2 linked regions of the Callithrix jacchus genome follow. The protein of the gene in region 1 purifies or fractionates together with the protein of each later gene. This does not show direct contact. Links are inferred from orthologs where the notes say so. Each region holds a gene or a part of one and is shown in the gene's direction. Other genes may lie near its edges. The genes, in order: FBXW2 and RBX1.

Region 1 (4,510 bases):
TGAGCCTAGGAGTTCAAGACCAGCCTGGGCAACATAGCGAAACCCTGCCTCTACAAAAATACACACACACAGACAGCCAGACATGGTGATACGCGCCTGTGGTCCCAACTACTCTGGAGGCTGAAGTGGGAGGATCGTTTAAACCTGGAGAAGTCGAGGCTGCCGTGAGCCAAGATCGTGCCACTGTACTCACTGTATGTACTCCAGCCTGGGCGACAGAGTGATACTCTGCCTCAGCAAAAAAAAAAAAAAAGGGTGGGGGGGATAACTTGTGCTCCGAAGTCGGTTTGGGTTGACATCCTATGACAGCCATTTACTATAACCTTAGGCAAAATGCCTAAATCTTTTGATTTCAGTTTCCCCATCTCTAAAAATGGGCCTAATAATAGTAACTAGCTTGTGGGGTTGTTGTGGGAACTGAGATGGTACACAAAAAATGTTGAGAAAGTGCATGAAATTTAGCTCAGTTTTAGTTCCTGACGCTAAAAGGTTTGCATACTTCATTTCCTTAAATCCTCAGACACTTCGGGTGGGTAGCTTACTATAATTGCTATGCAGATGAAGCAATCTGAGAGGTAAAGTACCCAGGCGACAGCCAGAGTGTAAATGCTGCGATTCATTCAAATCTATGTCACCTGACTGTCTTTTTTCATTCACCAACCTCCTTACCCTGCTTTATTTTTCTCCTTAGCACATCACAGATGCCTTACTTAATTTATCGGTCTTCCTCCTCCTAATAGATGTCCCAGGCGGTCAGGAATTTTTGTGTTTTTTGTTCACTAAACTTACTCGCAAAACAGTATTCCGGATAAAAGAGGTGCTCAACGGGTTGTATGAATTTGGACACGTCTCTTAACTTCTCTGAGCCGCAGCTCCCTCTCCGTAAAGTGAAGAAAAGAAAAACTGCAGTTGGTGCAAGATTGAATTGGAGGAGGGACATAAGAGCGCTGTGCAAACCCGGATGTATGGGTACGAAGGGAAGCTCTGCTCTAGTCTGTACCCAGTCTAAGCACCCTGGGGGCCGCGCAACGCGCGCCCAGCTTCCTAGGACGCTCTTCCCCAACCCCGACTCCCGGCCTCCAGCCTCCCACAACCCACCACCTCCCACCTTCCCCCCTTGGGCCAGGGACCGGAAGCACAGCCGCTTCCGCCGGGCGCAGCGGGGCTGACGGACGCGTGGAGATGACGTAGGCAGCACCGGAAGCCGCTCCCCTGTGAGGCTGCGGACCGGGAGCGGCGGCCGCAGGTCCAGGTTTGTATGCGAGGCGGAGCCGGTCTGGGAGGGGACTCTCAGGCGCCCGCGCTTCGGCTGACCCGCCGCGCCTTGGCGGTTTGTCTTTTTCTCCCTGCAGGCGCCATGGCTGCGGAGCGGACCCGGCCGCTGCGAGGCTCTGGCGGCCCGAGCGCGCCTGGTAGCTGTGAACCCGGCGCGAGGTCCCGGGCCCCGGGGCGCTCGCTCAGGTCAGTGCCGCGCGGAACACGATTCCGGGAGCGAGGGACCTGGGAGCGACGAATGGGTTGTTGGGATCTGGATTTTAGAAATGGGAAAATAGGGTTTCGGAGTTACTGCCTCCTAGTGCTTCCATTTCCTTAGCTGCGAAATGAGTTAACTGTGATGTCCCAGGGCTACCAAGCGTTTGAAAGATGAAGTGTGATGAGGTGGTTTATGAAGTACAAAGCGCTGTACTGCGCGATAATTGTGGGTATGCCATGGAAACAGGTGTGTATGTGTGGTGCTTCTCGAATTAAAGCAAAGGTAACTATTAATGCTAAATAATAATGCTAACTGACATTTACTGAAGACTTGCAGTGTGCCAGGTACTGTGCTAAACGCTCTACGTGCACTGTCCTGTTTAACCCTCATAAAAACCCTTGTAGGTAATGCTCTTCGTGGCTATATTTTACAAGTGAGGAAACAGGGAGTGAGGCATGTAAAGTGATTTGCCCAAGGTCACCCAGCAACAAGTGGAGTTGCAGAACCCGTATTTTATAAACATTATTTGTATTCTTTCAAAGCTTTAAAAAATTCACCTTAAAACTAAAGGCTGTTTTTTGATAGTGTATTATACTTATGTGGTTCTCAGTTTTTAAAAATATACAATGAAAAGGGACCCCTCATTCCTGTTTTCCAGCTCCCCAGTTCTCTCTGGAGGCAACCAGAGTTATCAGTTTTTTGAATATTCAGATTACATTTTATGCAGATGTAAATTTATACATGTGTATACATTTCTAAAGCCTCTGTACTCTTTGTCAGGAAAAGAGGGGGGGAAAGGAAACCTCCTTCGGTATGCCACTAACAATTACGTTGCTTGCACTCTTGACTAGGCCAGGTTCTGATGGAGTAGGAGGGGAAAACGTATTTATACTTTTTTTTTTAGACGGAGTCTCGCTCTTTAGGCTGGAGTGCAGTGGCGCGATTTCGGCTCACTGCAATCTCCGCCTCCCTGGTTCCAGCGATTCTCGTGCCTCACCCTCCTGAGTAGCTGAGGTTACATGTGTGTGCCAACACGCCCGGCTAATTTTGTGTGTGTGTGTGTGTGTGTGTGTGTTTAGTAGAGACGGGGTTTTACCATGTTGATCAGGCTGGTCTCGAATTCCTGACCTCGTGACCGCCAGCCTCGGCCTCCCAGAGTGTTGGAATTACCGGCATGAGCCACCGCGCCTGGCCTACACTGTTTTATCCAGAAGGTTCTTTCTCTAATAACTCAGAGTGTAGGTTTTGAGGCTATTGTATATTGAGGCTGCTACTTCCTATGCCATTCTGGGAAAGCCATTCTACTTCTTGAGCCATAAAGTTCCTCATTATGTTAGGTAAGGGTGGGATTATTGATACCTTCCATGAGGTTATGAAGATCAAATGAGATAATGTTTACCAGTGATACTTTTTCTTTAAATAAAAGCAACATAAATATGCCAGTTGCCTAAGGTAACATAATGGCAGAACCTGAGGGAGACTAACCCCAGGCTCTCATCTTCCAATTTAGGAGTCTTTTTGTTACATGACCCACTTCCTCAGAGGTTTGTGATTATTGATACTGAAAGCAAGAGGGCAAGTTGAATGTTTTAACTCTCAGATAGGGGCTTGGGGCAAGGGGGCAAACAACAGGGAATGTGGCTAGTATAAGGCACCTGCAGGGAAACTAGAGCCTCTAATAAACAAATGAGTGCTCTTCATTATAAAATTAAACCCCTAGTAAGTTTGAGCCCTTGAGTTTTTCTTCCAGGTTTTTTTTTTTTTTTTTTAAAGACTAATCAAGTGCAGTAGTGAGAAGGAGGGAAAGAGTAGAACAAGGAGTTCGGTCTGTAACTGACTGTGAACAATCAACTGAGATAACTGACTACCTTCAGACCACCTCTTCCAGGTGTTTTTAAGGGAAACTTTGTGATGATAGGGTTGAAGAAGATGGTAGTGGTCATGTCTAGTTCAGCCTCAGTGTCACAAAAATCTTGCCTGCCAGGTAATCATAGTAATAAAACTAACAAAAAGTATCATTTGAGTTTTAATCCTCTAGAGTGTGTACACTGTGCTAAGCATGTCCCTCCTATGTTTCTGAGTTCCACCCTTCAAGTTAGATGAAAGCTTCCGTTTTACAGATGACAGAACTGAAGCTTAGAAGTTAGTTGGACATGCCCATAATCACATAGGAAGTGGCTGAATCAGTAAAGCATTTCGACCTCCAAAGCATTTTTATTTATCACATTCTGCCTGTGTGTCCAGCTGTCCTTGACTGTTTGTGGTAATGGGAAACTCACTGCTCTGGAGGCAGCTATTCTATTGTTGGAAAGCACTGAGATTTAAAAGCTTCTCATGTTAATTGAAATCCCATTTCCTGATGTTTGTGCAACCAGTATATGGTATTTCTAGAGACTGTCTAAAAGAGTCCAGTTGAGACCTGTTACCTTAGAAAGCTCCCTCCAAAGTTAGTTGATCCTTTTAGAAAAGAAACAATTGGTTTTTTTAAATAGTGCATTCTGCAGTTAGTGAGACCTCCTTTATTAAGAAAAAAAAAATGCTTTTTTCAGAATAATCAGAGGTGAACTGCTCAGTTTTACAAGAGATTGAATGGTTTTAAAGGCAATCTAAGAGTTGGGAAAAATTTTTTTATTAAGAGTTAGGAGAATATATGAATCTCAGACATGGCCGAGCTTTTTAAAGGTGCTCACTGAAAAAACTGTCCATAATCTTTAGTGGTGTCATGGACACATTAATTTAGCATGTTGTAGTATGTCTCTTAGATATCTGTGGATGATGAGAACCTGATAATATTTTAATAGGTATTCTAAATTTGCCTTGTAGCTATTTATTTATTTATTTGAGATGGAGTCTTGCCTCTCTTGCCCAGGCTGGAGTGCAGTGGCACTATCTCAACTCAATGCAACCTCCACCTCCTGGGTTCAAGCAGTTTTCCTGCCTCAGCCTCCCGAGTAGCTGGGATTACAGGCATACTTTACCACGCCTGGCTAATTTTTGTATTTTTAGTAGAGACGGGGTTTTATCATGTTGGTCAGG
Region 2 (4,577 bases), about 23 Mb from region 1:
GCTGTGGTGGTGTTTTCCAGGATCTGCTGTTCCTGTTTATGACTAAAAGGGAAACAAATCGCAATTCTTTCACTGTTATTATTATTATTATTTTGAGATGGAGTCTCGCTCTCTCACCAGGCTGGAGTGCACTGGCACTACCTCGGCTCACTGCAACCTCTGCCTCCCGAGTTCAAGCGATTCTCCTGCCTCAGCCTCCTGAGTAGCTGGCACTACAGGCGCATGCCACCACACCTGGCTAATTTTTCTATTTTTTGTAGAGATGGGGTTTTGCCATGTTGGCCAGGCTGGTCTCGAACTCCTGACCTCATGTGATCCATCCACCCGCCTCAGCCTCCCAAAGTGCTGAGATTACAGGCATGTGCCACCATGCCTCTAAGAGTGATCTGGCAGTCACACCTCTGCAAGGTTAGAGATGTCAAAGGGAGTCCTGGTCTAGGCAGAAATGGGAGAGTGACACGAAGTACAGGTGCTTGTGCCGGGCGTGGTGGCGTACTCCTGTGAGTACTCACTGTGGGAGGCCGAAGTGTGAGGATCGCCTGAGACCAAGAGTTCGAGGCCAGCCAGGGCAACATAGTGAGACATTGTCTCCATTAAAAAAAAAAAAAGATCAGAATGCCTCACAAAATTCAAGAAATACAGTGACTTCAAGTGGGTTGGTTTCATTATAGCTCAAGCAGCAGACAGAGGACACGGACCGGGAAGAAATCACCCCACGCAGATGACAACTGAGGAAGGGGGAGTGGGGACTGACACGCTATAGTGAAGCCGGGCACCCCAACCAAAGGCGGTCCTAGGACTGCGACTAGGCGGGCGCAGAGGCCACCCCCCAGGCTTCGCGGGCGGGTGAGGGCAGGGCTGGGGGCCTGCTCAGTCTGGCCTTGAGGAGGGCCTTCTGAGGTCTCCCTTCTTCCCATCGAATCCCCGAGCAGTTCCCAAACAGAAATCGGAGACCAGACGGTGCCTGCGCTCCAGCCCTCTCAGGAGGACTGCACCTCGGGCCTGGCTACGAGGCGGGTCAGAGTCTGCGAAAGACCAGCGAGGGCTCTCGGGTTCTGGGGTAGGCGGCGGGTACCCACCCCCGCGCCTTCCCCAGCCCGCACTGGGAGCTGCGCGGCGACCCGGAGAGCCCGACAAGCCGGGTAGGGCTGCGGCGCAGGTCGTGCTCATGCGGAGGAAACAGCCGCCGCCCCAGCTGACGGAGTGTGGTCGGGGGCTTCCCAGAAGAGGCGGCGAGAGCAAACCCTTTCGAACATTTCCACCAGGCTAGCTCACGTAGCCTCGGCCCCGCCCCAGCCACTCCCGCCACCGCCCCCACCGGCCGACACGACGCGGGTGGGGCAATCTGCGCCAGCCCCTTTAAGAGGCGTGGTGACGTGCTCCGCCCCCACCTGCCTCTCGCGCGCCAATAAGGGGTGGGGTGTGGGAGGAGGTGCCGGGAGGCGGGGGAGTGAGGCGTGCACAGTTGCGCAGGCGCGGTGGTCGGACGACAGATCTTGTATTTCCAAAATGGCGGCAGCGATGGATGTGGATACCCCGAGCGGCACCAACAGCGGCGCGGGCAAGAAGCGCTTTGAAGTGAAAAAGGTTGGGTCTCGCCAGCACCTTCCTCAGGGAAGCTAGAGAGGCGCGGATCTGGCTGGCAGGCCCCAGGATGGTCGAGGCGCGGAGTAAAGGGTTTCATTTCAGGGCGTTCCTGGGACCGGGTACCACGAAAGGAAGCCGGGGGGCGGGTCTTAGAGTTGATCGGCGTGACGGTGGCCCACTGTCAGGGACGTGTTGGTTTCGCTGTGAGGCTGAGGGGCCAATCACGGAGCTGCTTATTGAGATACGCGGGGTTGCGATTTGGCGGCAGGAGCCAAGCGCTTGAGCTGTCACTGGAGTGGTCGAGGTGGGGGAAGGACAGGGTGGGGTAGGGTGGGTGAAATGGGGAGTCGGAGTGACTGCGGCGGTGGAGGATGGGGCAGTGCGGCGAAAGCTGGGAACAATCTGAGGTCGTACTGCATTGGAGGCCTCTGAGGGACCCCGCTGGTGATCTTGCCCCGCCCCTTTTTGAAGCTTGGGGTCCTCTCACTTTGAGGAATCCAGACTTGGTGCTCGCCGAACCGAGGCCTCCATTAACCCCATCTCTGGGCCTCACACCGTCTAAAGAGTCTGGAGTGTAGTGCTTGGCTCTTCTGAGACGTCTGTTGTCTTTTCACATAACCATCTCAGTCCTGGGTTCTCTGTCACGTCCAGAATCTCCCCCTTCCAAAATAAAAATAAAAAGCATGGTGGCATTTGTTAAGAAAATCCGAGCCCAAATCCTGTGGCATTTAGGGAGGGTTGAGTACTAGTCGTGAATGACTTGGTAAGAGTGGAAAAGCAAAAATGGAACGTGTCTTTTTATATGAAATGCCTTTTAGTGGTTTGCCACAGTTTGGGGGACAGTGTCGATTCCCACCTAACATGAAAGCTGTTCAAAATGGAGATTCTGAAATAGGGAAGATATTCCTGGAACATCTGGTTAAACACTGACATATCCCCCCTCCTAGTGCTTTTTGGTGTCTCATTGTGGCCACTGCTGCTCAGTTACAGCCAGCAGCCATATTGAAGAATAATAGAAGAGGGGCTTTTCCTCCAAGTTGAAACTGTGATGTGAAAAGTGGGAAAGAAGTTATAAGGCACTGAGAATGGGGTCTGAAAGTGATGAAGGTTTGGCAGTATTCGTAACTGAGGAAGCCAGAGTGGAATAACTGAAATGCCACTTTTAGTTAAACTCTTACTGGAATTATCTCAATACAAGACATAAAAGTTGGGAACATCTGTTTATTTTATGGTAAGAATCAAACAAAATTCTAGTGAATTCTAGAATTTGTTATAAAGTAATCTTCTAAGATTTAAGTGATGACCTTGGTCTGTGTACTGACACGGGTACTTAATTATCCAGCTTATCCCATGATTATCCATTTTATGGTCCCATGATCATCTTAGTTCATTCTGTTCCCTAGCTTTCACCTCACTGCTCATGCTTCCGGAGCTTCCTGGAAGAGCAGATACTCACTCAGATTTTGAGCTCTTCTGCAACTGCCACAAAAACCTGCACAGTAATTCAAGTTTGTGTTTATTAAGCCTACAACGGGCAGTTAAAAATTGTTCCTAATTTGTTTACATTGATACGGCTGACAATTATTTTATTTCATTTTTTTGAGGCAGAGTCACCCTTTTGCCCAGGCTGGAGTAAAGTGGCACCAATGTCAGCTCATTGCAACCTCTGCCCCCGAGGTTCAAGCAGTTCTGCCTCGGCCTGCCGAGTAGCTGGGATTATAGTCAACTGCCACCATGCCCAGCTAAGTTTTGTATTTTTACTAGAGATGAGGTTTTGCCATGTTGGCCAGGCTTGTCTCAAATTCCTGACCTCAGGTGATCCCCTCGCCTCGGCCTCCCAAAGTGCTAGGATTATAGGTACAAGCCACTGTGCCTGGCCACTAACTAAATTGTTTTATTTTATTTTATTTTGAGATGGAGTTGTGCTGTTGTTACCCAGCTTGGAGTGCAATGGCACGATCTCGGCTCACTGCAACCTCCGCCTTCTGGGTTCAAGCAATTCTGCCTCAGCCTCCCGAGTAGCTGGGACATCAGGTGCGCACTACCGTGCCCAGCTAATTTTTGTATTTTTAGTAGAGACAGGGTTTCACCTCGTTGACCAGGATGGTCTCGATCTCTTGACCTTGTGATCCACCCGCCTCAGCCTCCCAAAGTGCTAGGATTATAGGCGTGCTCCTGGCCAAAGTATTTTAAACTATAAGAAACAAAAGATGACTCATTAATTTCTGTGTTGACATACGCAGCCTTTTGGAGAATGGGAGAACATACGTGTAGTCTACCGTTGTCCTTTGATATAATAAGAATAATGTAATATCCAGAAACTTGTGTTTGGTGGTTCCCCATGGCCGAAGAGGTGGTAACTGCAGCTGCAGCATGAAGTCGTAAAGAGTGTGTGTTACAAGGAGAATGCATTGTTCCCTCTTTTTGTCTTTGCAGTGGAATGCAGTAGCCCTCTGGGCCTGGGATATTGTGGTTGATAACTGTGCCATCTGCAGGAACCACATTATGGATCTTTGTAAGTAATTGGAGGAGGATGGGAGAAAGTTGAGAAGGTTACAGAGATTGTGGCTATCTTGATGTGACCAATTTTCTTCTTCACAAGGAGATAGAAGCCTATGCTGAGCACTCGGTCTTCTGTATCTAATCTGTTGATGTGTTGGAAATAGAGTAGTTTTTTTATGATGTCCTGGAAGCATACCCAGCTCTCAGAATAAATCTACTCAATCTAAAGATGGCAGGGACACATTTAGAATGAATTGTGGACAACAGGCACTATTGACTCTTCCTGGGTATCTCCCCTCTTGTACCTAGACTCGAAGGTAGAAATAGTGAACAGAGGAAAATAAACTTTGAGCTAAAATGTTCTGTCTGAGGCCAGGCACATTGGCTCACTTTGGGAGGCCAAGGTGGGTAGATCATGTGAGGCCAGGAGTTGACCGGACTGGCCAACATGGTGAAACCCCAACTTTATTGAAAACACAAAGATTAGC

What was found.
Region 2: the proteins of FBXW2 (region 1) and RBX1 purify together in Homo sapiens (affinity purification with western blotting; 3 studies listed by BioGRID and IntAct, with this or other methods). This does not show direct contact. The link is inferred for Callithrix jacchus from reciprocal best matches to the Homo sapiens genes FBXW2 and RBX1.

Annotation. Positions count from the first base shown.
Region 1 is NC_133502.1:169,203,273-169,207,782, reverse strand, and holds the start of FBXW2 (F-box/WD repeat-containing protein 2), read left to right. Parts: upstream 1-1,523; 5' UTR 1,524-1,644; coding exon 1,645-1,720; intron 1,721-4,510. UniProt on the Homo sapiens protein: Substrate-recognition component of the SCF (SKP1-CUL1-F-box protein)-type E3 ubiquitin ligase complex.
Region 2 is NC_133502.1:191,767,897-191,772,473, forward strand, and holds the start of RBX1 (E3 ubiquitin-protein ligase RBX1), read left to right. Parts: upstream 1-1,488; 5' UTR 1,489-1,509; coding exon 1,510-1,587; intron 1,588-4,023; coding exon 4,024-4,102; intron 4,103-4,577. UniProt on the Homo sapiens protein: E3 ubiquitin ligase component of multiple cullin-RING-based E3 ubiquitin-protein ligase (CRLs) complexes which mediate the ubiquitination and subsequent proteasomal degradation of target proteins, including proteins involved in cell cycle progression, signal transduction, transcription and transcription-coupled nucleotide excision repair.